Nothobranchius furzeri: one gene and its partners. The protein of the gene in region 6 purifies or fractionates together with the protein of the main gene of each other region. This does not show direct contact. Links are inferred from orthologs where the notes say so. Each region holds a gene or a part of one and is shown on either strand. Other genes may lie near its edges.

Evidence for each region.
Region 1: the proteins of sec13 (region 6) and nup133 purify together in Homo sapiens (affinity purification with mass spectrometry; 4 studies listed by BioGRID and IntAct, counting the BioPlex papers as one, with this or other methods). This does not show direct contact. The link is inferred for Nothobranchius furzeri from reciprocal best matches to the Homo sapiens genes SEC13 and NUP133.
Region 2: the proteins of sec13 (region 6) and mios purify together in Homo sapiens (affinity purification with mass spectrometry; 5 studies listed by BioGRID and IntAct, counting the BioPlex papers as one, with this or other methods). This does not show direct contact. The link is inferred for Nothobranchius furzeri from reciprocal best matches to the Homo sapiens genes SEC13 and MIOS.
Region 3: the proteins of sec13 (region 6) and sec23a fractionate together in Homo sapiens (co-fractionation; 3 studies listed by BioGRID and IntAct, with this or other methods). This does not show direct contact. The link is inferred for Nothobranchius furzeri from reciprocal best matches to the Homo sapiens genes SEC13 and SEC23A.
Region 4: the proteins of sec13 (region 6) and kelch-like protein 12 purify together in Homo sapiens (affinity purification with mass spectrometry; 3 studies listed by BioGRID and IntAct, with this or other methods). This does not show direct contact. The link is inferred for Nothobranchius furzeri from reciprocal best matches to the Homo sapiens genes SEC13 and KLHL12.
Region 5: the proteins of sec13 (region 6) and nup37 purify together in Homo sapiens (affinity purification with mass spectrometry; 5 studies listed by BioGRID and IntAct, counting the BioPlex papers as one, with this or other methods). This does not show direct contact. The link is inferred for Nothobranchius furzeri from reciprocal best matches to the Homo sapiens genes SEC13 and NUP37.

The regions. Positions count from the first base shown.
Region 1 is NC_091747.1:67,786,939-67,791,544, forward strand, and holds part of nup133 (nuclear pore complex protein Nup133), read right to left. Parts: intron 4,304-4,606; coding exon 4,133-4,303; intron 3,966-4,132; coding exon 3,810-3,965; intron 3,146-3,809; coding exon 3,075-3,145; intron 2,123-3,074; coding exon 1,975-2,122; intron 1,461-1,974; coding exon 1,310-1,460; intron 1-1,309. UniProt on the Homo sapiens protein: Involved in poly(A)+ RNA transport. Involved in nephrogenesis.
Region 2 is NC_091745.1:63,835,990-63,841,183, reverse strand, and holds the start of mios (GATOR2 complex protein MIOS), read right to left. Parts: upstream 3,057-5,194; 5' UTR 2,965-3,056; intron 1,975-2,964; 5' UTR 1,927-1,974; coding exon 1,108-1,926; intron 1,017-1,107; coding exon 527-1,016; intron 1-526. Other genes in the region: col28a1b (collagen, type XXVIII, alpha 1b), read left to right, coding at 3,838-4,000. UniProt on the Homo sapiens protein: As a component of the GATOR2 complex, functions as an activator of the amino acid-sensing branch of the mTORC1 signaling pathway. The GATOR2 complex indirectly activates mTORC1 through the inhibition of the GATOR1 subcomplex.
Region 3 is NC_091758.1:16,454,467-16,459,072, forward strand, and holds part of sec23a (protein transport protein Sec23A), read right to left. Parts: intron 3,069-4,606; exon of another isoform or gene 2,910-3,068; intron 2,828-2,909; exon of another isoform or gene 2,691-2,827; intron 850-2,690; 5' UTR 803-849; coding exon 582-802; intron 498-581; coding exon 440-497; intron 366-439; coding exon 279-365; intron 200-278; coding exon 1-199.
Region 4 is NC_091755.1:52,045,113-52,050,349, forward strand, and holds the start of kelch-like protein 12, read right to left. Parts: upstream 3,491-5,237; 5' UTR 3,415-3,490; exon of another isoform or gene 3,345-3,414; 5' UTR 3,263-3,344; coding exon 3,205-3,262; intron 2,739-3,204; coding exon 2,512-2,738; intron 1-2,511. UniProt on the Homo sapiens protein: Substrate-specific adapter of a BCR (BTB-CUL3-RBX1) E3 ubiquitin ligase complex that acts as a negative regulator of Wnt signaling pathway and ER-Golgi transport.
Region 5 is NC_091741.1:39,610,402-39,613,678, forward strand, and holds part of nup37 (nucleoporin Nup37), read right to left. Parts: intron 2,409-3,277; coding exon 2,318-2,408; intron 615-2,317; coding exon 430-614; intron 364-429; coding exon 313-363; intron 247-312; coding exon 153-246; intron 1-152. UniProt on the Homo sapiens protein: Component of the Nup107-160 subcomplex of the nuclear pore complex (NPC). The Nup107-160 subcomplex is required for the assembly of a functional NPC.
Region 6 is NC_091743.1:73,557,998-73,563,157, forward strand, and holds the start of sec13 (protein SEC13 homolog), read right to left. Parts: upstream 3,629-5,160; 5' UTR 3,499-3,628; coding exon 3,496-3,498; intron 3,305-3,495; coding exon 3,260-3,304; intron 2,594-3,259; coding exon 2,478-2,593; intron 2,314-2,477; coding exon 2,162-2,313; intron 1,479-2,161; coding exon 1,345-1,478; intron 1,198-1,344; coding exon 1,064-1,197; intron 951-1,063; coding exon 830-950; intron 1-829. UniProt on the Homo sapiens protein: Functions as a component of the nuclear pore complex (NPC) and the COPII coat. At the endoplasmic reticulum, SEC13 is involved in the biogenesis of COPII-coated vesicles.

The DNA of each region.
Region 1 (4,606 bases), on a different chromosome or scaffold from region 6:
TTTAAAAGATAAATTCTCTGCTGGCCACGTTTAAAAATGGAGTCTGTATTCGTGTCAATCCAAGAACCGTATTTGTCTTTATTCACCACCTCAAGCACACTGCCATGCATGACGCTACTGCCGGGGAGAGACGGTGTGGAACGTCTAAAATCTGTTTCTGTGACATTTAAATCCAGACAGTTGCTATCGCACCATTCCACAAACTCACAATCAGCAAGTGCATCCAGTTAGCCGGTATTAAAGAGCAAGTCACCCCCCCAAATCAACTTTTTTTTGCTGATAAACTACATAAACGCGTGTCTAATCGTGCTGCAGACACGTGTGGTCAATAATTTGGTACTTCAGTGCATCTTAGTTAAAATTTAAATATTCTGCCTAAAACTGTCAGTGTTGTGCCGTCGTCAGGTAAAAACTCTGCACTGCATTTGAATTTAAGGCCTAGTCCACACGTAGCCGGGTTTTTTTTAAACGAATATCCGCCCCTCCAAAAAACCTGTCCACACGTACCAGGATAAATACGTTGTTAAGGACATGCCAGACCTGTAGGCGGCAGTACTTCCCCCGTTCTTAACCTCGTCCTTCGTCTGTGGTCTTCCGCAAGGAGCAGTAATTCCGCTTGCAAAAACAAACAAGCAGAAAGCGCTTGGACAATTGATAAAGCGAGCGCAGCTCTGAGGGCATCCATGATGTCGGCTAGTGTAAACACAGGTCGCACACGTGATGTCAGCATGTTTTTGTCGCGGAAAGTGACGTTGCGGACCTTAAAACTCCGGTTTTGTCCGTCCACACGCAGACACCCAAAACGGAGAAAACGCAGATCTTCACTTTGGCCGGAGTTTTTAAAAAGATCCGTTTTCGTGTGAAAAAACTCCGTTTTCGTGTGGATGACAGGCCAAAACGTAGAAAAATATCTATGTTTTGGCAGATCCCCGGCTACGTGTGGACAGGGCCTAAATCTGCCACTGCTATTGGCTAAGAGGTATACTATGATGTAAACTGGTCCTTATGATGTCACAATGTGGTTGTGAGCCTGTGTGTGTATTGGTTTGCGGCTCCGCCCTCTCGGTCTGCAAGGCAACAGCATTTGTTGCATTTTTCAAACATGAAGAGGGAGTTGAGTAAGAATCTGGCAGGGGGTGACTTGCTCTTTAAGTAATTCTATATCACAGGCCAAAATCCTACCGTTCATTATTAATATTTACTGATAATGAGACAGGCGTGCGTTTTCCTAACAGCGTGCGGCCTCATGTAACAATCGCTGTCTGAGATGAAATGGCAGGTAAAAATCATGGCTGCTGCCCTCTCTCACCTGGTGAGGTAAAGTTGATTTTCTCATCTGGCAGCGTTGCCCTGCTGGTGCCCGTCGAACAAGCAAACACCAACTCCTCGTTGTACAGGAAGGCGGTGGCGCTGGGGGACCAGGGCAACAGCAGGCGTGTAGCCTGCAGAGCCTCCTTAGTCTGGAAAAACCAGGCAGCTGATCAAAACGGAGACAATTACAATAAACAACACACCCTGTCAAATGTTGCTGTACATGACCGAATTCTTAGAGAAAGTGAGTTTAAATGAACAACAGCAGCATGAAACCGTGTTCCTGTCTCTGCAGGGTGCTGAAGCAAACCTCTCGATAAGCAGTCACCCCTGCAGGTTCTTACCTACAATCACTCATAAATAAAAGGTCAACTCTGTTGGTTTGAAGCTGCTCCAGGAAGGACACAAGCTACTTTCAAGAGTGTATTCAGATGCATTGCTTCCCAATGTCTTGGTAGCTGAGGTTACAACACCTTAAACTGTTTCAAACCAACTACTCTAGAAGTTTGGATCCAGTAGTGATGGTGGACAAAATCCTGAACTTTCCACATTTTCTTCTTCTTCTTCTTCGTGAGCTGAGCAGCAAAATGAATCCACGAGTCCAGTAAGTGAGATTCTGGCCTGTTGGACGAAATAGGAATCGTTCTTTCAACAGACACTGACCTGGAATACACAGCTGTACTTGGTCACCTGGACGGTAAACTGGTCAGAAATGGTGGACCCATCGTCATGCAGGGTGGCGAGACAGAAGTAAGCCAGGCACGGGGTGTCCGACGGGTGCCAGGCTGCAGCCAAAACCACCAGGCCAGACCTTAGAACACACACACAGCACAGAGTCTGACGGGCTGCACACGACACACACACCGTCACGCTGATTCTGTCCTCAACCTGCTCGGCTGGAGATGGACGAGTCCAAGACCAGCAGCTGTTTGTATCGGACACCTCAGCAGTGGTGATGCTAGGAGAACGTTTCAGGACATGAACATGAGGACAGCTGCTGGTCCCAGCAACTGAGCAGAAGTCTTCAGCGGGTTGCTCGACATGGCATGTAGTCTGCTTGTCTACACACAAATACCGTCCCGCTCACTCCCTGTACAGAAGTTCCCTTTAGATGTCTACTCTCGTGACTTTAATGCTCCCCTGACCCTTCCACGCACCACGCTGAAGCGCTCGGCGTCCAAAACGTGTGGTCGTAGGTTGAGCAGTCAACTGTCAAAAACATTGAAGGCGTGGTTCCCTGAAAAAACATTTTTACAGTGATCCCTCGCTACTTCGCGGGTCGTTTATCGCGGATTCACGACTTCGCGGATTTTTTCTTTGGAGCCTTATTCAAGGGAAATTTTCCGATTTGCGGTATTTTTATATGCGAAATATCAAGAAATTCCTGTTTTTTTTTTCATCAATTACATCATAAAATGCACTTTTTGTAATAAAACTATAAAAAAACCAAGTAAAAAAATGTTTTTCTTGAGTTTTACCCACAAAAAGAGAATGTGATCATACAATAATTCAATAAAGTACTGTACTGTAAATATGGTGTCCCTACTTGGCGGATTTTCACCTATCGCGGCCAGGTCTGGAACGCATCTACCGCGATAAACGAGGCATCACTGTACTTCTTGTTTCTGATTATAATCGGTTACTCGGAGTTTCTCCATACAGGCTGAACATGGAAACAGGAAAAGCTCATTTAAGACTTTTTAAGGACCCGCGGATACCCCGAGTACAGGAAGGAAGTACGTAAATATCACACACACACTCACTGGCTTAACTTCATGTCCAGGTATGCAACGTTTGCCCCGCTCTTCAAGCCACCGTAGCTGCTCTCTGAACCCTGGAGAGAGAGAGAGATCTCCGTGTCAGTCAGAGTGGACAGACTTGGTGGAATCGTGTAGACGTGAGACACGTCTACCACCACAGTTTGTCAGCGCTTAAGTCGCCCCCAAAATCACCTTTTTTTTGATAAACTACATAAAAGTGTGTCTGATCGTGCTGCAGACATGTGCAGTCAACAGTTTTGCACTTCAGAGCATTTTAGTTAAACTTTAAATTTTCTGCCTGAAACTGTCAGTGTTGTGCCGTCGTCAGGTAAAAACTCTGCACTGCATTTGAATTTAAATCTGCCACTGCTATTGGCTAAGAGGTACCCTAGAACTTTAGCTAGTACCATATGATGTCACAATGTCGTTGTGAGCCTGTGTGTGTATTTGTTAGCGGCTCCGCCCCCTCGGTCTGCTAGCAAACAGCATTTGTTGTATTTTTCAAACAGGAAGTGGGAGCGGAGTAATACTCAGGTAGGGGGTGACTTGCTCTTTAATGAACACAAAGATGCGTTTGTATTTTGTGACGACATGACAGATGTCAAACCTTCCACCACATCTATTGTGTGAATATCAGCCCCCCCCCCCATGTCCTTTACGCTAGCACTACAGTAGATCGTAGGACACTGACGACAAACACCTGGGATGGTGTAGCACGGCTGCTGCTTTGGTACTGACCCAAATGGACTCAACAATGCTCTCGTTTAGAGCTTTGCAGGTGTCCCAGCTGAGGATCTGGTGCTCCGAGCTGTCGTCCACCTCCCACTTACTCAGCCTGGAGGAGGTCAGGGTGTACAAGCAGCTGGTTCTCCCCACCCACACAACGCTGTGGAGCTGAGAGAAGGACATTCAGGAAAGGAGACACTTTCAATGCTGCAGCCGACTTTACTGTTGGGTCGGTCTGATGCTCAGACATTAATAATAATGTCTCTGAGAGATTCTGGGCAATGACCCAGGAAGGGAACTTACCCAGAGTGTACGGAGGATCTAACGTAACTCACCACGTCATCGGCTGGTGGAGAGAGGATGCCGAACAAGCTGGAGACACGGCGGCCGATGCCAGAGAGCACACCCTGACCCTGCTGCAGAGCTCGACACTGAAGCTTCCCGGAGGAATCTGCGCTCACTCTCAGCAGCTGACTCCTGACTGATGCCACGATGAAGCTCCCACCCTAGGAGAACAGAGCAAATCCGGCCACTGCTCAGCACTCACAGGTCCAAACGGTGGAGCTGAAGCTGACGACTCAAATCAGGACTAGAGAAAATGACCACGTGTGCACCCCCGCCCCCTAGCCAGGATAAAGAGCTGATCCACTGCAGAGGAGTTCTGATTGAAACGGTTTTTTAGGGGTTCACCTGTTCGTATGTCACCTGCGTGACCTTCAGCGGCCTTGAAGAGAACTTACACACACGTGTGACCTCTATAAAAACGTTAAATTGAAGTTGTTGCTGACGAGATTACAAAACTGAGAGAA
Region 2 (5,194 bases), on a different chromosome or scaffold from region 6:
TTTCCCATCTATTTTCTATTGGCAGCTAATGAAGGAAATGGACCTTGGGACGGTGCTACAGGTCAATCAGATGGCACACCACTAGGCTCACCAACAGCTTCTTCCCCTCGGCCATACGCAGATCAAATAGCATCAACCACTGAAACCCCCCCAACCAGAACCATAAACTGGGACTCCTACATGAAATATAGAATTAATTAGCACATTATCCTGTGTATATGTTCTGTGTACATTTCATGTCCTGTGTGTTCTGAGTAAAGTTGTGGGTGGACCACCTGCAATTTAGTTGCTCATGAAGCAATTACAATAAAGTCTTATTGTATTCTATTCTGTTAGATCATTTCCACATTTAGCCTTCATGTGAAACTCAGTGACTGACCATATTTAAAAACGACAAGGAAAAACGGCGTCTCTCTGAACTCGGTCTTCATAAAATGCTTTAAAACTTTTGGAAGTTGATTTGCTACTTCAAAAGCTCTACCTTTACTCACAAGTATTTCTGTCACTTCATCACCATAAAGGATATAGGACAGATCGTACCACAAGGACTTGAGCTGGGGGTCATTCCCTCCAGCCAGCAGGTGGTTTCTCCACACCTGCAGAGTGTCGTGTCCGTACCTGGACTGAGCTCGCTCCCTCATCTTAGTGGCGATGTCTTTCTCAACGGTGCTCTCCGCTCCTTCGGCCGAATCCTCGGCGCAGTCGTATAAGTGTCTCCCACACGCCCACATGAGTGATGTGGTGGAGCTCCAGGCCAGAGAGATGCGCTCGAACACGGTGAAATCAGTCATGACTCGGTTGGTCGCGGACACCACCACCATGCGGTTCTGAGAGGAGGGGTGCCAGGCAAAGCTGCCAATCTGGCTTTCACATGGCTGCACGCTCCGCTCGATGATGGTGGGCTCTGTTTCATCCCCGATGGGCGTAGGAGTGTGTTGCATGTCGTACAGGCGGATGACGTTGCTGTCACGCGTGAGCGTGGCCAGAAGGCCGGTACGAGTTGGACACCATGCCACCTGAGAATGGAAACAGCAAAACACAGCTACAGTCTAAAGAATGAAGCATTAAATAAATGTCTCTTTAAAACAGGAAAAGGCTCCTTCATACCTTGGTAAGAGGTTTAGACTGCTCTGTAAGTGTGAGCACAGGCTTCTCAAATTTTCTCAAGTCCCAGATAGCCACCTGCCCCTCAAAGAAGGAGGCTACACGGTCGTGGAAGTGTGGGTCAACTGTCACGCCCTGGATGGCCTTGGTGTTGACAAACATCTTCTGGCTGGTGTTTCTCAGGTCAAATATTGCAAGGTTCCTGTGCATACCAGCCAAGAGCAGCTTGGGGTCTCGAAACAACCAGCACAGAGACAAACAAGCATCGTTTTGGCCAAGCTCATACAATGGCTTAGTCACTACCATGCTTGAATCCAAATCCACAGTTGAGATACGGATTTTCTCAGCTGCTACGCTGGTCTCTGGGGCGAACTTACTGCTAATATCCCAAATAAGAACAGAGAAGTCGGCCCTGTGCTTGTCCAGCCCTGCAGCCAGTAAGTTGTTGTCCACAGGGTTCCAGGCTAAAGTGTTGCATTGTCGCGCATGTTTGGGCACAAACTCTTTCCCCACTAGCTCTTTACATGTAGAGTTGTGGCTCTGGCCCAAACTGGTGAGCACAACTCTGCCATTAGCTTGTCCCACTGCAAGTAAACACTCAGGCTCGTGCTTCGGGTACCAGGCCACACATTTCATATAAGGGGTGTCAGAGTTTATAGCCAATAAAGTAGCAGCAGTTTCTTCGGAGAGTGGCAGAGTGCCAGGCTTTGTTTCTGTGCCACCCACAGGCCCAATGCGATACAGTCCTAGTTCAGAGTCGCAGATGACGTAGCGGTCCGGGTGGTGAGGAGACCACAGGATGTCCGGCTTTGAGCCACTCATGATTCAGAAGGAGCAAAATGAGCTTCAACACAGTCTGCTTTCAACAATCTGGAAATATGACAGAAGACATGGGAGACTGTGAATCAGACAGCAGTGGGTAGATGTCATCTCACAGCAGGCAATTGTGTAATAGTAAAAATAATGCAGTGCAGCATGATGCAGTTCTGGTCTACATGAGATGGTGTATGTATTTCTGCTGGAGGGGGACAGATGTCAAAATGACTAAAGACAGCTAATTATTCATGCATCAATTATTTTTTGACACAAAATGAGTTTAAATATTTTGTAAAATTTTTTACTACTGTAATATTTTACAACATCACATTTTATAATTTCAAAAGTTATCAAAATCTGGTTCAATAATATAGAACAAATGAGAAACGCGTTGATCCTTATATTTATTGTGACTTATAAACATAGCATGAAGTCAAAATGTTTCATGTTTGTTTGTCAGGGCTTCATTACCAAAGAACCAGATTTAGAATCATTGTTGAAGTTCTTCAATATAGTTTCACTCCAACACATTTTATTTTTAAAACCCTCTTTTTATTTCTTTGTGATTACTGGGATTCTAAGAAGATAGTGTTCACCCAGAAAGATAAAAACATACTGATCATGACCACAGATTATGATAAATTCGATTGCATTTGGAAGTCTTGAGACTTTTCCGCAGTAATCTCTCATAAAGTCAATCAATTAAGGTCAACGTGTGAAGAGTTAGCCGACATCTACTACTGAAACTTTGCAACTGATTTCAAACAGTTGAGTCACCCACGAGATGCTAACTAGCTAACAAGTTCTGATATCTAAATGAAGAAATCATTGTGGGCCCAAAGTTCAACCCATCTACTAAAATCCAAAAGTTGCACAAGCTCGTGAAAGAAAAGTACCAAATTTGCTTGTATGCTAGCTTACCTAAGCTAAGGCTAACGGGTGAAGGACGTGCTAAACAGGTTCTCCTTCACTAATTTACCCAGCAGTAAAAACGATTTCGCTACCAAGTGATAAAATTAACAAAAACAGTAAATTAGTACTTACATGTAGAACCTTTAAAAAGCCGACCGAGTTATGTTTTGATGCACACATGTCGTATACGGATGTTGTGTGCAACACCAAAATAATTCCGTACTGATTAAAGTGAAGAGAGTTCCGCAAGGTAACTTTCCCCGCAAGAGGGCGTGCAATGCGCAGGGAACGAATTGCCTCTTCTTCTTTTTTTTTTCAAACCAAATAATTATTTGTCTTATGGAAGGATTAAAACATTATAACAGATAGAGATTGTGTGACTTATTAAGGATTTTTATTTACTGAAAAACTTTGAAACTATTTTTAGATAAAGTAGATTAAGTTATTTGTTGAAATAATCTATTTTATTTATTAAATTATTTGTAACACTGCAAGGTAACCATTCCACATACAAATTAAAATATGTTGTTTGGATTAAGCATAGGATTTAGAAACTATACAATCATTATTATTGCTTTTGCAATCACCATTATAAAAAAATCACACAAAAAACTTTATTTACGTAGCCAATAATTACAGACAGGCTTCTAAAGGAATGACTCTTGCTCATTCATAGCTGAGGGAAGTCCTGGCGTTGAGCCACAGCGTATCAGCTCATCTCAGTCTGGGCTTAGTGACCCGATCCAAACGGGGCGCAGAACCTTTCTCCCACGGTCTGCATGGGCCACAGTAACTCATCACATCTGAATCAGGTAGAAGCTGATTTTTCATTTTACTTATTTAATGATGGTAAAAGTGTTTATTGCTGCACGATCATCATCATCATCATCATCATCATCTAAGGGGTTTGAAGTGTCACTAGGGCCCTGGGGAACCTGCCCAGATGCTGAAGCGGGATGTTTGTTTTGTATTTTCCATGCAGACCTTCCAAAGCCGGAGTTTGAGATGCTGCTGCTGGGAAGTCTGAGCAGAGGACTGGGGCTCTGGCTGCTGCTGTTAGCTCTGATTCATGAAGCCACCGGGCAGAGGAGGAAATCATCATGGAGGAAAAACTACACACCGCGTGATGATGGAAACGAAGTTCTCAGCGTTAGCCGCAGGAATACTGGTGAGAATCTTTCACTGGATCAGGATTGAGGAAACGGGATTTGACTGAACGACAAGATAAAATGATTTAGTTTCTCATTCCCTGACTAAACTGAAATGGTGAATACTGTGTGTTGTTGACCGCATGACTAATGTGTGTACTACAGTGAATAGCCCCGACCCATCGGGGGAGTCAATAGCAAAACATTTTTGCAGCAAATCTTTGATGTCCTGTTAGCCGTGAGACCAGGCGTCAGCGGGTCAGACGTGTTGTTTTAGCTCATCCCTCTGAGGCCAAAGGGATAGAAAAGAATTAAAACTGCGGTCCCTCCATCTGAACTTCTGACAGCCTGAAAGAAATGCTGCCCTTTGTCACACCTTTATATGATGTATTCAAGTGCAAGTAAGTAAGTAAGTAAGTAAGTCAAACTTTATTCATATAGCACTTTTCACAGATAAAATCACAAAGTGGCCACACGAAGAAACAGGGGCAGGGCGTTCCAAAGCCTGGGAGCTACAGCTTGAAAGGACAGGTCCCCCCTAGTTTTCAATCTGGTCTTAGAGACCTTCAGTAGGTTTTCACCCGAGGACCGTAGAGTGCGGCCAGAAGAGTGAGGGATTAAAAGGTCTGATAAATATTTTGGAGCTTGAAAAGTCAAAACTAAAATTTTAAAATCAATTCTAAACTTGACCGGTGGCCAATGTAAAGAAGATAAAACTGGTGTTATGTGAGCCCTTCTATTGGTTCCTGTTAAAAGCCTTGCTGCAGCGTTCTGGACCAACTAGAGACGGCTGACATCTGATTTGTTAAAACAAGTAAAGATAGAATTACAATAATTTAAACGAGAAGAAATAAAAGCATGGATAATCATCTCCTTGTCCGATTTTGAAGTAAAAGCTCTCAATTTGGAAATGTTTCTCAAATGATAAAAGCAATTTTTTACTAAATGTTTTGAGTGGCAGCTCAAAGACGTGGATTGGTCAAAAAGAACACCAAGGTTTCTGAGACTGGTCTGGACTGAGGAGCTCAACATGTAAGTGCAACACATAAACTTAATCAAACACACAGAAATCTGAGCTATTCTCTGTAGAAACAGACAGGATTAAAGGTTTTGTTTAGTTCTGATGTGGCACTTTTACACTCTACAGGTGGATAATGGGTGGAAAGTTCACCATAACATAAGTTACAAGAGCCTTCCTCTGGTTACATGTTTTA
Region 3 (4,606 bases), on a different chromosome or scaffold from region 6:
AGACGTAGCTTTTCGAAATTCCCTCGCAGCCCAGCTCATGGACCTGAACCATGCGTCCAAAGGTAATGAGTCCAACCAGAGCAGTTGGGGGCAAGAGAGACAAGGACATCTGCAGGGACTCCTTTAGAGCCTGCAGGTCCTCATCCTCCATGCATGTGTCCACTAAATACAGAAAGACCAGTGGCATCTGAGGGCCCCGCTGGTTAGGAAGAGGAGAGTGGGTTAGACCTCTAGGAACAAGGGGTCAACGTTACGGTCTTACCGTGTCCTAGTCTCACCTGGACAACATACTCAATAGTAGAAAAATGAGGCAGCAGCTCAGCGGGCTGGTTCACCTCCGATATCCCAGCGTAGGATGGAGGGAACTGGACAAGACAGATGGAGTTAGTGTGTCTGCAACATGGTCTCCCATCCAGCCAGTGGAGGACACGCCACTCACCTGGTTTCTCTGGTAGCAGAAGTTACATGCCCACAGCTTGGCTCTGTAGTCCACCTGGCTGAACCACAGAGGCAGACAGAAATAAGACCAACAGCTAGTGAACTGGTGGGAGCTGGACAACAACGAGAGGAGTGACGCCTACCAGAGCGGATTGAGAACTGCACGGCACGTGGCTCGGCTGCAGAGAACTGGTTCATACTGAATTGGGGGGAGGTCGGTTCTCTCCTTCAGCGGTGTGAGGAGAGAAGCCACTGGTACCACCATTCGGGTGGCCTCCAACCGGCTGGAAGGCCACACGTTCCAGCTGAACCGAACACCATCACGCTCCTCATTTTGGGCAATGTATTCTGAGAAGGTGGCCATGACAGAACAGGTGGGTGCGCCACAGGTGTCACTCTGTCAGGTGAAAGCTTTATGAGAGAGAGAGAGAGAGAGAGAGAGAGGAGAGGGGACGTCAGAGAGCAACAGAACAATAGCAAACACTAATCGTCTGGTAATGCCTGGACCACACCGCGTGCTTTCGGCTATCCTAGACAAGTCCCTCATCTTGAACAGACTAGCCTCCAACTGTCTCCAAGCAGTGTCTGAAGATCTATGACCCTGCTCTGTAATCGACCAATGAAAATACCCCCAGGGGACGACGCGAACAGCTGGTGATGAGAGGACAACACGAGTGAAATTAGCACCAGTGGAGGCTACACTCAGGAGCACGTGGACTTTTCTGGAGATCAGTTTAGAGTCTAATAAAAAGTGTTAACAGTGGTTCTGTTTTCTCTTTTCGTCGTTGTCTTGGGTCTCCATCAGCTTTTAGTGACAGACGCTTTCCGGCGAAGACGCTCGTTAGCGTGTTCTGCTACAGCGGTCCACCTCTCTAGAGTCCTCACAGTGTGACAAGAACCAGTCCTGTGCTACAGCTGAAAACACAGTGTGGTCCAGGCTAAGAGTGGTGATTCTTTACAGAGGAGAACCCATAAAGTCAAAATGTTAAATCACTCAAATGTTTGCTACACATTCCGTCAATCAAACTGAAGCATGATGTTTTTTTAACAAATCTAATAGAGCTCTTCACCCATCTGGCCAATTGGGTGGGTTCTCATAGGTCAGACGCCCGCCCCCGAGGCGGACGGCACTTCACTTTGATGGTTAGCAAACACCTGAGTTAGCTTTGTTCTGCTCTTTCTGCCGATTCTGCTTTTCCCGGGATTCACAGATTGCTTTTTCTTGTTCATTTTTTTTCCTTTCCTCGCATCTTTAGCTTTTTTCATTTTTAGGAATTTTTTGCCATTTTTTGAGTTACGTTTTTATTTATTGCAAGTAATATCGTCATCGCAGTATCAATCATCGTTATCGCAGGTTTTCCTAATATGGTGCAGCCCTAATGCAAAGGTGAGTAGGACGGTGAAGGGCAAAAGAAAGGAACCGTTAGAAGTGTGTGTGTGTGTGTGTGTCACTTAAAATAGGTGAATTAAGATTTGGCTGGATGGGGTGGTGTAAGGGGAGCACCAGTATCTCCTGATGTGGCTGACAACAAATGGAGCAGTAGGATTCATGACCAAGTGGAAGATGCAACAGCTGGAACTGGATTCCCAGTTGTTTCCTGCACACCTCCTGGTTTTTTCTCACCTCGACTCTGAGCTGTTTTAGTAAATTCCTCAATAACGCCCTTTTACTTCAGGTCAGCGGTGATCCAGGGTTCCTTACTGGGGAAGCACCTCGCTGATGACGTACATATAATCAGTCACACACTCACTGATGTCATCTCCATGTGGCTCATGGAGAACATCCCTGCAGCTCAAGGTGACCACCTCCTCACAGTCCTTCTGGCCCATGTTGGGCCGCCTTGACTGCTGCTTTTAGAACACTTGGTGGTGCTGATTAGATTAATGACGGAATAAACAACATTTAAATGTCTAATAAACCCAGTTTGTAATGAAAAACTCTTGAAACACAAATGAACCCGTTTCTGGTTTTGATGTTTCGTAACTGAAGTATAAAAACGATCATTAATGTTGTGGTTATAACTAAACTACAGTAAACAAATAAACAGCTACACAAAACCCGCTAGTTTACAGGAAGGAAACTAATCGTTTAGAGTGGCTGGTTAATCCAGTTGTTAGCTGCAGTCCGAGTCTGGGTGGTCCGGGGGGCTCTGGACCTGGTGGCAGGGTCCAGGTCTCCTCAGAGTCCAGGTCCAGGTCTCTACTGGACAGATGCTCACAGACACCTGGTCCTGTCTGGTGTCCAGTCTTACCTGGACGTGACCACAAGACTTCTCCTAGTGAGCCCACAGCCTTTAACGTGAGATGCAGCCATGCTGCGTCATGAAGACAAACTGTTGAACTTCTTTACGAACTGTACCGTCGCCACGTTTGTCTGGCTCTGCTTGTTTATCGCTAACTGTTCGCTCATGTTCCACGAACTAAACGCAGCTTCGCTAATGTCACGCAGGTCGTGACTCCAGAGCACACACCTGACATAGTCCAGGTGGAGCTGCGGGTCCGGCGGACACACCTGAGGATCATACAGGTAAATACTCACAGCCACTCCGAAGCTCCGAGCAGGGCGCAGCTCTGGTGACAACGAAGCAAAACAACATGGCGTCCGCCGGCGCCACGTCAAGACGTGAAGCAGGAAAAAGGCAGAGGTCTCACTCTGAGCGATAAACGAGAGCTCTTTTTGATCAACACCATCTTTGAACTGTTCAGGCACCATTCAATTTATCAGTAAAAAAATGCACCAGGCATGCTGGGAAGAGGATCTTTAAAATATGAACGTTCATTTAACTCTGAAGGAAGCTTTATTTGGCAAGGGCAAACGTGAAAAGGTAACACTGAGAGATAATCATGATGCAAAATCCTTGTTTCTCAGTGCAGTGGGTCTCAGTCTTTAAACCAGGGGTGTCAAACTCATTTTAGCTCAGGGGCCACATTGAGGGAAATCTAGTCCCAAGTGGGCCGGACCGGTAAATTAAAAACAACTTCAGATTGTTTTCTTTGTTTTAATACAATCAATATAAAACAAGGATGAAGCCTGAGGACAGTGTATCCAAAATAGTACAAGTACAACACCTGAAGTGTACTTGAAATTTTGAAGAAAAAAAATCAATAAATTAAAAAAACATTCCTTAGTGATTCAAAGAGCTTACAGATCACATGGCTAGATCAGTTTTATGCAGCACTTAAAGTATATTTGACTCATTTTACATTACATCTTTTAGCTTTCACCAGCACATCAATATCAGAAGTCACATGGCTACCACTCAGGAGTGGCAGCCAACTTCAGGTTGTGATTCAAGTTCTTGTGTGAGCCTTGAGCGCAGCTTTGTTTTATTTATACTCATTACAGAGAAAACTTGCTCACAAAGATGAGTTTATTTTCACTCTACATTGTAACGTATGAAAATAAAGTTTACACAACCATCTCACGGGCCGGATTTAACCCACTTGCGGGCTGGATCCGGCCCGTGGGCCGCATCTTTGACACCCCTGCTTTAAAGTAACCTTCTTTACCATCACCTGCTACTGGATAGACTGAGAGACTAGGTAGGCCTATCAGGATCTGCTCTGGAGTGGTTGTCCTCTTAACTGTCTGAGCATTTCTTCTCTGTGGTTCTCTCCAAGTTTCGGTCCTCCACCACCTCCCTCACTCATGGTGTCCCACAAGGCTCTGTGCTGGGGCCTCTACTCTTCCTCCTCTATCTGCTTCCTCTTCAGCACATTCTGGGCTCCTTTTAAGGAGTCTCCTACCATCTTTATGCAGATGACATCCAACTGCACATCTCCTTTAAGCTCCATGAGAGGTGTAAGCTGCAGCTGTTACACACCTGCTTAGACTCTATTAAAACCTGGATGGCTGGGAGCTTTCTACAGCTGAATGAAGATAAGACTGAGATCCTCATCTGTGCCCCAGACAAGCTGGTTCCCAAAGTCAGTCTCTTGATCAGCTTGCTTCTCACACCAAACCCTCTGTCAGGAATCTTGGTGTGACCTTTGACCCAGCCCTCACCCTGGATTCTCATGTCAGTTCTTTGTTCACTCTTCCTTCTTCCATCTCAGGAATATCCTCACGCTTAGACTATTGCAACTGGCTTTTCACTTATCTGAGCAAAACCTCCCTGAACCGTCTGCAGGTGGTTCAGAATACCTGTGCTAGGCTTCAAATTGTCAA
Region 4 (5,237 bases), on a different chromosome or scaffold from region 6:
GGCACAGCGCAGCGTGCGCTTGTTGAATCAGTGTGTGTGTGTGTGTGTGTGTGCGCGCGCGTGCGGCACAGCTCCATGCGCCGCTCCAGTCACCGCGTCTCGTTATTGGTGCTATTCAAACCAATGTTGTAAAATTACTTCTGCCCAGCCCAGATGTGCTCACATGTGCACCCGTGAGCCGTGGTTCCGCTGGAACGCGTCTGACCTCTGACAGACGCACTCTGAACTTCAGACCTTCAGCGTGCTGTTAACAGCCTGACACATTTAGAATGCTGTCCCACAGTCAGTGTGCTAATATAATAATATAATAATGCTAAAATGCTCAGATGGGAATCATTTCTTGATTTATTCTGTTACATCTACAATGTTCTGTGTGTGTGTGAGGTTTACAACTTCAGAACACCTGCATGAGACAGGTGTTAATTACAATCTGCCAGAATGACTCACCACCTTCAGATTCCTCCAACACCGTTAAAAATGATCAAATACTGAACATATCCTGCTGTTGACAGCGTGCGCAAGCCAGAGCGCTGAAACTCGGCGCATTATTATGAAGCTAGGGCACATGCGGAGGACACACACACACACACAAGCAAAATATACTTGTTTTCCAATTACATTTATTGGGCCCACCCACAAAGGAGTTTCTGGCTACGCTAATGGTGACATATGACAGACTTCTCTGAGCTCCGCAGCCATTACACTTTTCACCTCGCGCACCCCCTAGCGGCAGCTCGCGCACCACACTTAGGGAGTCCCTGCTCTAAGGTAGAAAAGAGAGAAAAAAAACTCCAGATGCATTTTTCTGATTTTGTTCCCTTACAAGGATATTTATGCCCTGTAATTATATCGGCATTTAGAGGGGCAAAAGGGTTTCCGTTAAACAAACACTGTCTCTGAGGAGAGATCCATCCTGCAACAGTTAGTATGTTCAAATGTGTCTAGGAGGGATTTTTAGGTCCAGTGTTAGTCTGAACAATCCACCCACAAGCTGACAGCTCTGAAAACAAGTTATCAAACCTGCCAATAAAAGGCACGTCCTGAATGACACCCTGCAGCAGGATCTCTGATGATGCAGCATGATAAAGACTCGCTGCCTGAGTAGCTAGACTCCACCAGGACTGGTGTCTGATCCTGTCAGCAATCTTCATGAACGGAAGCTCACATCGCAGTCGAGTGGTTTGGGTCTCATCTCTGCTTTAGGTGACAGCAGATGATGTGGTTCTGTTAGCATCTTCAGGCTATGATCTTTAGCGTGCACTAGCATGCTTCACAGCTGGGGGCCGAGGGCTGGGATGAGAATCAGCTCCTCTAAGACCGATGTCATTGTTCTCAACCGTATAAAGGTGAAACACTCCCTCCAGGTTGGAGCAGAATAATTAAAGTATCTTGTTAACTAAGAGATGGATCCAAGTAAAACAGAATCTATTAACATCAGCTGGTAAAAACGTTTATAAATGGAGCAGCAAACAGTGTTTTCATTCAGTTAGATGCAATGGTTGCAAATGCAGCTTCATGAAAAGTTAAACACTTAGCATGGAAGCAGATAGCAGCTATTTTTAGGTCTGATGGGATTTCCTTCAGATCAAGAGTCGACTGTTCAGTTATCTGAAAAAGTGCTGTGCTCATTTTCTAATGATGACAACAACTTATTATCTAAAGAACGTAAGCTTTGTTTTCTCCAGATAAGATGAATACGATGAAAATGGGAGAAATTCCTGTGTTACGCCCGTTTTCTTCATTTAGTAGCATTGCTGTGACTCTTGGATGATTAAAACTTATTGATGTGCTGTTTACTTTTGAATCAGTTGCAAGCAAGACTGACCTGATTTCTGATGAAGTAGCCCTCTCTGGTTGTGAGTTAGAAATAACTGTCTTAACACATTGGAGCAAGCTGTTCCAGGTCAAAATGTCTACATATTTCAGCCTGTTATAGCAACAAAACAAGCTTTATCCCCAGTGAAAGCATTAAATAACAAAATAAACCATTATTAAAAGACCTGCAAATGAAACCATATTTGTAGGCCTGTCATTGTGCGGCTTCCAAACGTCCGAAGTTTTGTTTTGTTTGGCTCACACACAACGGTAAAATGTAGACTTCTGTTATTTACTCACTAAGTAAAAAGATCTGTTGGATTTGAAAGATCTCATGTCAGAATAACACATGGATGCTGAGGGTGCTGTTCTGCAGCATCTCTTACTTATGAAGCATGTTGGAAGTAAAACTAATATTATGTAAATATTAAATAAAGTCTCAAATGTTGGGATGAACTCATGTGTTCCTACAATACAACTGTACTTAACAGAACCTCTTCCTAAAATAAATTTAGGTTTTCTTTTTATTTCCCATCAAATGATTTGAAAAATTTGTTGTACATCCAGTATAAAATCCACACACATCCATTTAAGTTACAAGTAATAGTTAACCCAAACAGGGGAAATGCCCCCAAATTGTGAATATTTAAAAAAAAAACTGTTTTGTACATTTTAGTCCTGAAAAGAAAGTTCTACCTCACTGGTGAACATGGCACAAAAGTAGTCGCTGCAAGCAGCCAAGACGATCCGGTGAGCAGGAAAATCCGCGTTGTCCACCCTCAGAGTGATGTCGCAGAGTGTGTTACTCTTGCGGAGTGAATTCATTGCATTGAGGATGGATTTAGCATGGGAATTTGTCATGATGTCTTTGGGAGCCATGCTGTTTGGAGGATCCGTCATAGATCTCAAACTCCCACAGGAACCTAAAATAAATACATCAAGACAAATAAACGGAATTCTTGCAGACCACAATGCCATCTGGGAACAGGAACAGAGACAGGAAGCACCGGATTATTGGATTAATAATAATAATAAAAACTTTAGCATTGGCTCATTAGTTAAAGATTATTCAGGAACCATCATGACTACTGAAAAAACATTTTTGATGAATCTGTAGAAATCATTAGATGTGTGTGTATTGGTTTGTTGTTTTGTTTTGGAAGAAAAAAACAAGGAAAGACATCAAATAATGTCACATCTGTCAGTGGAAGAGTCCACAAACAGGTATTATCCATCCTTAGGTATTTAAAAGCTGATATGTTGATTAAAACCAGACAAAAAAAAAAAGAATAAAACAAACGTATTTGTCAAACAAAAACCCATGTTTGAAACTACAAGTACATTTAGTTAGAACCAGGATTTTTATTTGATCGTGGTGATGAAACTTACCGTGAAAAGATCCTAACACTTTTTCCACCACTGGGAGGCAATAACTATAGCTACACATGAGCTAAAAGCAGCACTGAACAACAGCTGACGGCTAACGCCAACGCCACACAACTTCAGAAAACAGCAGCTACAAAAGCGGCCTGTAGGCCAGAGGGAGACAAAACAAGAAGCGACACACACACAAGAACTTGGCAAGAATTTGCATTATACCTGCAGGGCAGAGTCAAAACGTCTAGCTAAGTTGTTTTGCTAACTAACTGTAGCAGCACCAAAGTCTCAGTTCAAACCGCCCTAATCCATCATGACCTCCGTCAGGTCACACCAACACACGGCCTCCGCGGGGACGGGTCTGTTCAAAATATCAAAATTATCTCATATTATGTCCCAGAACGATCTTTGAACACCAACAATTTAACGTTGACTAAACTGCAGTGGGTCACAGTAGCGCCACCAACAACATAGTTGGCAAGCAGATGTATCATATAATAGTTGGACACGAACTTTCAAACAAAAATCCAGAATTCACTTGTTCGTAGTAAAATGAATAGCCTTTAGTCTGTGGTTGTTGTTGCTGTTGTAGTATATGTTGTTACATGACTATATGTTGTTACATGACGTTGTTACCTGATGTTCAGACATGATGTTGTTACTTGATTTTGTTACATGATGTTACTTGATGTTGGTACCTGATGTTATTGCATGATGATAGTACATAATGTTGTTACCTGATGTTGTTACAAGATGTTGTATAATGTTGTTACTTAATGTCACCTGATGTTACCTGATGCTGGTACCTGATGATGTTACATGATGTTACGTGATGTTATTTGATGTTGTTACCTGATGATGTTACATTATGTTGTTACCTGATGTTGTTACTTGATGTTGTTACATGATGATGTTACATTATGTTGTTACCTGATGTTGTTACTTGATATTGTTACATGATGATGTTACCTGATGTTGTTACCAGATGTTGTTACATGATGATGTTACATTATGTTGTTACCAGATGTTGTTACATGATGTTATTATTTGATGTTGTTACTTAATGTTGTTACCTGATGTTGTTACCCGATGTTGTTACCGGATGTTGTTATATGGTGTAGTTACTTGATGTTGTTACTTGATGTTATTACCTGATGTTGTTACTCGATGTTGTTACCTGATGCAAAAACAAGGTAAAATAACACTTGCTGTGTTAAAAAGAACAGTAATGCAGTAGAAATGCAGAACAATTTAATAAAACAATGTCAAATGTTATGACATGTTACTCATTTCTATGCACAGTGTAGAAGTAAAATGCTATTTGTGACCAAAGTGCCATTTAAAAAGATGAACTCAAATGTCAACTCACTTGTGCAGTGGAAATATGAACTAGACAAAGACATGGACAGATATGTTTGCCACATCTGAAGGGGATAACCTAATATAAATTAATGGAAAGCTGACATAATTTGCTTCAAAAGTTTGTTTTCCCTGACAAAGTCTCAGTTATGGAAAACTTGAGACACAATTTTAATATTGTGACAGTTTTGGTTATCATTGGTTTTGATTTTATAATTCAGATTGTCATTTTGACAGAAATATTTACACTGACGTTCAAATTACTTTTTAAATGTAATTATATTAAATGTTAAAACAGCTTGCCAAATTCACCGGCAGCCGGGGCGATGACGTACACAGTGCGTGAGTGTGCGTGCGCGCTCCCCAAAGAGCGAGACGCGTTTTTTTCCCAGAAATATGATGCCTCCCGCGCGTCCTCGCCTGTTGGTCGCTGCTGTTTCAGAAATGGTGAGATGACGATTCTGTGTCAACAGACTTACTTTCCAGACTTGAAGAAGTGCTGTGAATCCTACACAGATATCTCACAGCAGCAAATTAAAACAAAACAAAACACATTGTGCTCTTTTTAGCCACCCAAGGACGACAGCTACACCGTGTAGGAGGAGCTAGCGGCGTGTTTCCGTTAAGAGTAGGCCGAGATGGCGATCTAAGCAGCCGCACTGAATGCGAGCTAACAGCGGCCGAAG
Region 5 (3,277 bases), on a different chromosome or scaffold from region 6:
TTCCTGACATACAGGGTTTATTTAGCTGTCTGAAAATGTAACACGTTTAACAAAAATACCACGATAATAACGAAAACCGTGATAATTTTGGTCACAATAACCGCGAGGTTAAATTTTCACACCGTGACAGCCCTAGAGAAGACTGCACCCACCTGAGGGTGGCCAAGATGGTGGATGAATACCTGCGTGTTGATTTTACCAGGAAGGCCGGTGGTTGCAAAGAGGTTCTCATTAGCAAGAGACCACCTTGAGAAAAGAGTGCATTTTTAACAACTGTTTAAGAAAACAGAAACAGAACGTTTATAGACTTACTTGAATAGTCGGGCTTTGTCTTTGTGGGCTGGCCGTTTCTCTTGAGGGTAACTGCAAACAACAACACATGAGGGGATGTATTCCACAACACGCATCAAGCAGCAAACCGCCTCTAACCTGGAGCGCGTTATGTCCCAGACGAGCCAGTCGGTGCCTGCCACGCCGCCGACTTTGATCGTGTTGGTGAGGCACCAGTCGGCAGACATCAGCGGTCCACAGTGTCCAGAGTCCAGTGACAGGATGGCCTGCTGGGTGACCAGGTCATAAAATCGAATCGTCCCCTTCTTCTCTGCCACCATTAACTGATGAAGATATGCCATCAGAACACAAAACTCTGGTGAATGGAAGCACTGAGTGGTGGAAACACATCAGGAACAACTTATAGAGAAGTAATGATCCGCTGGTCCTCTAAGAAGCGGTGCCATAATGAAAATAGATGAGTATGACAATGAGATGAAAACGAAAATAGAAACACAAATGAAAAAATAACGTTTGCGAAGAAGAAGAAAAGGGCTGGAGCACTCGCGTCTGCACCGTTTAAATATTCTTCTTTGACCCAAACGTTCCAGCCCTTTCCTTCTCAAACCGTTCTGCGTCCGTTTGTGGAAGCAGACCACGGCCGTTCCTTAGGTGAGATTTCGGTAACGCTTCCTTTTACAGTCCCCTAATTACTAAGTACTTACATGGTAATTACATAGTAAGTTTAAGTGTATTATTGTGTAATTCAAGTGTATAATTGTAAAAAAATGTAATTATTGTGTAAAGCAGTATTTACTGTATTTTACTGGTCTTGATTCGGAAAAGGGTAGAATGCCTTCTCCGGGTCAGGGATGAGGTCCTGCCCCAAGTGGAGGAGTTTAACTCATTCACTGCCATTGACGACTAAAGTCGTCATTTTAGATCCAACCGTTCACTGCCAATGACGACTAAAGTCGTCATTTGCATTTTTTTTACTGTTTGAGCATTGGAACGAGTCCCCGCGCTGATAGAACAAGCATCTCAGCCCTGAAGCCGATCTTCATCCGCATACGTCACAGATCACATGATCAGGAAGCAGACCATCCATGTGTTTGGAGATCGTTTTGGGCCGTTCCTGTAAAAAAAGTGAGGCGCGAACCGGAGAAGCATCTGCCGATCACAATTCAACAACGGATTATGAAAGAACGGATAACGCTCCAAACACGCGGCTTCTTCCTGATGTAAGAGGTGAGTCTCCTCTTTGTTTTGGTTGTTTTGGCATCGACATCATGCTAGCGCGCAACGTTCTGTGACTCTTAAAAAAACAGTAAAAACGGTGAGAAACGCTGGCAGCGAAGGCCGTTAGCGATCAGGAAACGGCTTGCAGTGAATGAGTTAAGTATCTCGGGGTCTTGTTCACGAGTGAGGGAAAACTGGAGCGTGAGATCGATAGGCGGATCGGTGCTGCATCTGCAGTGATTCGGGCGTTGTACCGGTCTGTCGTGGTGAAGAGAGAGCTGAGTCAGAAGGCGAAGCTCTCGATTTACCGGTCGATCTACGTTCCTACTCTCACCTATGGTCATGAGCTTTGGGTAGTGACCAAAAGAACGAGATCACGGATACAAGTGGCTGAAATGAGTTTTCTCAACAGAGTGGCTGGGCCCTCCCTTAGAGATAGGGTGAGAAGCTCGGTCATTCGGGAGGGGCTCAGAGTAGACCCGCTGCTCCTCCAAATCAAGAGGAGCCAGTTGAGGTGGTTCGGGCATCTGGTCAGGATGCCTCCTGGACACCTCCCTGGTGAGGTTTTCCAGGCACGTCCAACCGGGAGGAGACCTAAAGGTAGACCCAGGACACAGTGGAGGGACTATGTCTCCACCTGGCCAGGGAACGCCTTGGGATTGCCCCGGAGGGGCTGGCCCAAGTGGCTGGGGAGAGGGAAGTCTGGGCCTCTCGCCTTAGGCAACCGCCCCCGCGACCCGACTCCGGATAAGTAGATGGATGGATGGATGGAATGATAAGCAACAAGGACTGAATAAGTCCCTCCTACCTTACAGATTTCCTCTGGATGCCAGCACACACTGACGCCCGGAGAGCGAAGTCGCAGAACACACGTCTCATTCCCTTCCAGGTCCCACAACCTGCCGACATGGATTCAGACACACGAGAAGTAAATCAGCTCTGCTTCTTTTTATTTGGAAGCTTAGGAAGACAAAGATGCCATCTATTTTATATACGTCTCTGGAATTTAGTAAAGATAAGCACTTGTATGATACAAGACATGCCTTAGAAGATGAATTTACATGACCAAAAGATCTGATGCTTTAAAGCATACAGCAATGTATGGAGGGATGTACGAGTGGAACCATCTCCCAAAAGAAATCTCACATATTAGGGGTAAAAATGTATTTGGAGTTAGATTAGAAGAACATTTGTGTTGTGTGTAGAAAGAGAACTTATTATTTAGATATTATTTAATTAAAAAAATTTTTTTAAAGGGTTAATTGTGTTGTGATATGGTATGAAAAGTAAGTGTATAATATAATGGAAGCCTTGGGATGGTAAAATTATATCTGTTAAGGTCATCAATGTTGATTTGGTGGGGTGGACTTGCTTCTGTATTTTTAGTGTTTTTATTTATTTATTTATGTCTTTTTATCTATTTGATGTAAACATTGTTTTTGAAGTTGTATGAATAGGTCCACAGGAAGAATAGCAGCAGCTCGCTGCAGCTAACGGGGTTCCTAAAACAATGAACAACATGAAAACGCTTTAGTTTGCATGATGATTACAGATTCTAGAGGCTATACGCCACATGGGGCGTTATTATGAAAAAAGCAGGAAGCAGGACTCATAATCGGTCATCTGAAGGATCGATTCGAGTTGATGTGTGAACTGCTTTTGGCTGGAAAGCCCCCCAAAAAATTTTGCTTGCTTTTAATTAATAAGAAAGGCAGGAATTTGGAGCAAACTACTAAAAATAGCATCCAACTTTGAAAACAGTTATGGC
Region 6 (5,160 bases):
CTAAACAAACGTTTAACTTAAAGGTGGCATATGGAACAGTTTAAATAAAAAGCTATATTTACAAAAACAATACCGCCACAGGTCGTTGAGAGGTGTGCAGAATGAATGTAGTTTCTCCTTTAAAAGCTATATTTAAAAAAAATATGTATCACATTTTTATTCTGTCGGGCACAACGCCGGGTTTATGTTTACATCTACCAGCCACTGGGCACCATTAAGCTAAAGCACCCGCTGAGCAAGGCGAGGCTGGGACTGTGTAAAATGGCTGACTTGACAAGTCAAGCAGCTGATTCTGAGTCCAGAAGATGTTCTAATGATGAATAATAAACTCATTAGTAGAAATTAGTCTATATTCTGTACGATTTGTCTCTAAACACGGTGCTGGAACATGTCAGCAGTGAACCAACATCCCAACGGCTGGAAAATTAGTCCTGTTGTTGCAATACCACCAGAGTGTCCCTATTCCATATTTAACATTTAATTTCTCTAAATATTTTCTGAAACATGTCATCTATGGCTCCACCTGGTGATGAGGTGAAAAATTCAACATGAGATTTCTTTAGAAATACAACCTGCCCCCCCTCTCTTCCTTTTGTATCTTTCTTTCTCTTTCACCTCTGACTCCGTGTCTGGTCGGAATTACAAAGCATTCAAAAACAATAACAATAAAGTTTTAAGTACCAGGTGTGACATTAAAAGCAGACGCTTTGATGCTCCACCTGAGAGTAAATCTGTAAGGCTTGTCACCAGCATTCAGACATCAATTCTGTTTGCTTCACAGCCAGACAGGACACGGGGGGGAAAAAAAAGAAAAAAAAAGAAATCGGACCTGGGAGCAGCTGGCGATGGTGCTGGTGGGAAGACCAATAGAAGGAGCCCAGCCGACGTCTCTGACCCAATCACTGTGCGCCTCCAACTTCTGGTCCTCTTTCCACTGACCGTCTTCCTCTCTGCAGGCAGAACATTATTCAGGCCACAGAATATTAGCTACATCTGACGTTCACTGTTGAAAGTGTTCTTTTTTTTATCCATACAGGATGACAGATTTTCAACAGCAACTTACTTCCAGAGTTTCACCAGGTTGTCACATCCGCCAGAGACGAAGCGTTTGACGTAGTTTGGTTTCTGACCTGATGGCTGATTGATCAGGCTGCCTGGAACTACAGCAGGAGCCCAGCTCACTGCATTACAGCCAATCTGAAGCAAAAAATAAAGCTTTTAATTATTCTAAAGATACACTTCACGCCCCAAAAGACACAGAAACACTAAATTAGAAAAGGTGAGACAGAATAAAGTTTAAAAGATTGGTGACAACTTAGGAAAACCATTTCATTTTTAACTCACGGTGTGTGCGTTGCTGATCTTCTTGACGTCCCACTGCTGATCACCAGTAAATGTGAGGAGGGAAATTGCTCCATCTGAACTGCCACAGGCTAGGATTAGACCAAATTCATACGGACCCCAGCAGACTGAATTCACTGCAAACACAGAGACAGAGTTAAGGACGAGATCAAGTTGTGTGGAAAACTATTCAGTCAAACTGATCTCTCAGCCCCAATATATGAACATGAATTTCTTTGTAATTTCTTAAAAAGGAAGGATCAATTAGAAAGGGAAAAAGAAATGTACTCAAACAAAAGAGAATGTTGTAGAAACAGAACTTAATCTGAATATTTCATTTTTCTAAAGGTGTTGGCAAAAAAAAAGAGAACATATCTGAAACAAGACGTGTACTTTGGTGCATTACACTGACCTGTCGGGCAGAAGAAGAAATAAAATTACAACATTAAGATCAAAACATTTGTTATCTGTAAGAAAAACGGAACTTCTTCCAGCATTACTAGCACCTGAACTTCTTTCAAGAAGGCCACATGGATTAGCAGAATGAGGAGGAGGAGCACATTTAAACCACTAGAGGGATATTCAATTCCGGTCCTGGAGGGCCGGTATCCAGCACATTTTAGTAGTTTCTCTGCTCTAACACACCTGATTCAATGGTTGAATCACCTGTGCAGCAGCTCATCTGGCTCTGCAGAAGCCTGTTAATCACCTGCTGATTGAAATCAGGTGTGTTGAAACAGTTAAAACTAAAACATAATGGATACTGGCCCTCCAGGCTTGGAAATGAACACCCCGGCACTAGAATAATGGAGAACTCTACCTGATGACTCGTGTCCAGTGTACTCATACATCTTGTCCCAGGTGCCGTTCTCCTCCTTCCAGATGACGACTTTGCGGTCGTATGAACAGGATGCTAGAATGTTGCCGAACATTGGATGAGCCCACGCCACCTGCCACACAGGGCCCTCGTGGCTACATGATGCAGGACACACACACACACAAATAAATAAATAAAAATACATTACAGAACAGGTGAAGATTAAATCTTTAGGAAATAAATGGAAGTGTATTGACATTCACTTGACAACTCTACTTACGTAAATTTCTGTGCATATTCCAAAGCTTAGATCTCTTACCCTCTGAGGTCTGCCACCAGGATCTGTCCACCATTGCGGACGTCAAAGATCTTAACGGTGCGGTCAGAAGAACACGTGGCGAGTCGAGTCCCGTAATAGTCCATTTGGGCATCATGCTGAAACAGACAACAAAGCAACACCAGGAATGTTGGTGGGGATTTCTATGGGGCAGCAAAAGCACCAAACAATGGAAGCATGACACCTGGTTTATTCATAAATGAACTGATGGTGCTAAACTGAAACCCATTCCTTAAATCTTTCACCATCACATAACAAATGTGCGGCATAAACTGCATCATTTGAATGTTTGTTTTGGTTTTGATTTCCTTAAATTGAAACATTGAGAACATGATTAATCTTATCTTTTTAGGGAGAATGTGAATACGTGAATGATTTCGGCTAGATTTTCCCTACAACTAAAACGAAAATGCAAAACACGCCGATTAAGTGAAGTTTAAAGACTATTTAACAAATTTTCACAGTCAACACTACAGAATAATCCACATAGCACTGTTTCTGTAATTATTACACTATAGCATCTGGTACAGTTAAGACAAACATTTTGACTGAACGATCTAAAAGCACTAAACTAATTAAAACAATGTGCTACTCCTTTCTCAAAACACACATCCCAACAGTATTACATATTTAAATTAAAAACTGCTGCTTTACACAGAACACTTACACTTGTGGTACTGAATGAAGATAAAAGCTACAGCCGCTAACTGTTAGCTTTTAGCATCAGAGATAAAAATAAAACTGGATAAAACATAAACACTTACGATCATATCCTCGTGTGAAGTGTCCACCGTGTTTATAACGGAAACCTGCAATTGACAAACAAATAAGAACAAAATCAAGCAAATATAAAACTATATCCAGACAGATTAGCCTCCTGCCGTTAGCGATCGTGCTAATGGATTGACAGCTACCAAGACTAGCCAGCAAAATGTAAACATAAAATCAACATCCTAGAATATTTTGAGCTGAAACTAAAACAAAAAGTGACGAAATTCACCATGGCTGTGGCTAAACCGTGTAAACAAGAAGCCCCTGTTCTCTATCGACTAACTTCACAAGGTTCACAATTCCGACGTGGCAACAAGTACAGAAGCCGTTTCCTCCACCGAGTCCCACCTCACTTCCTACCGGGTAAAACAAAACGCCAAATGATAGTTCTGCGTGAATTAAAAAAGAAGAATAATAAAAACTTTAAAAACGCTTCATTTAACAAACAAACAAACAAAAAATAATCAAACAATAAAAAGGAAACAGTTTATTTGAGCTAAAAGCTAAAATTATTGATGGAAACTTAAATGTACAAAGACCCTCTATACATAGAATAGAATAGAATAGAATACCTTTATTGTCACCATACAGGTGTAAAGTGAGATACAGAGCATCTCCTACTCAGTGTAAAACAAACATACTTGGGACACACACACACACACACACACACACACACACACACACACACACACACACACACACACACACACACACACACACACACACACACACACACACACACACACACACACGCACACACACACAGTACATTTACACCTGTCTGTAATCATATTATAATTACTAATAAAATAGTAACATGAATTCACGTAAACAAATAGAAAAAGACAGAAAACAGAACACATCGATACATTACATTCCCTTTATCATTTCAATACAACATTAAAACAAAAAAAAAACATTATTTTAAGAGGAACAAGTGCTTCTTTTTCAGGTCTCCTAAATATCAACTGGTAATAATAGTCAATTTTTGAAGATGTCTCTCAGATTGTGATTTTTGGACAGCAAATTATCACGTCGTTACCCCAGATGACCACAAGGTGACGCCATAAACCCACAATAGTCTGACCTGACAGCTGTTTTTATCCTAACCCACCAAGGACCAGGTTCGGCCTTTTACTGAGGTCCTTGCTGCTGCAGATGAGGGCTCAAGCAATTCTGTATGACCCTCGCTACATAGCTGCAATAAACACGTTCGTCTTCCTTAGCGAGGCGCTGATGGGTGTGGATATGAGGCACCAGACCACGGTAACACACACACACACACACACACACACACACACACACACACACACACACACACACACACACACACACACACACACACACACACACACACACACACACACACACACACACACACACACACACACACACACACACACACACACAAATTATTCCATATAAATATGAAATATCAACCTGACTGATCTTTGAATGTTTAATCAGAAGAATATAGTTACTTTTACTTGTTCAGGGACCATAAACACACTTTGTATTACTGTAATTCAGACAGAGTCAGGTATATAGTTTATGAAATTAATTTAATTCTTTTACAAAATTAATATTTATACATGACAAGATATGAATAACGAGATGCGATATTGTGGATGTGAGGTGATGTAATGTGATGTGTGAGGTGGTAGGATGGAAGCTAGATGTTTTATCAAGCCCACTGATAAAACATCTTATAGCCCCAAATTGCAATTTTATATGAAATAAATGGTTTATTGACAAGCAGCACACTTACATATTTATCTAGTTAAAAAAAAGTAAATAAATTCCCACTTGCAGCACTTGGATCCTCCACCAGAGAGTAGAAGATAAACAAGATGTTCTTTTTGGGTTATTTACATGAATCACATTTTTGGTTTAT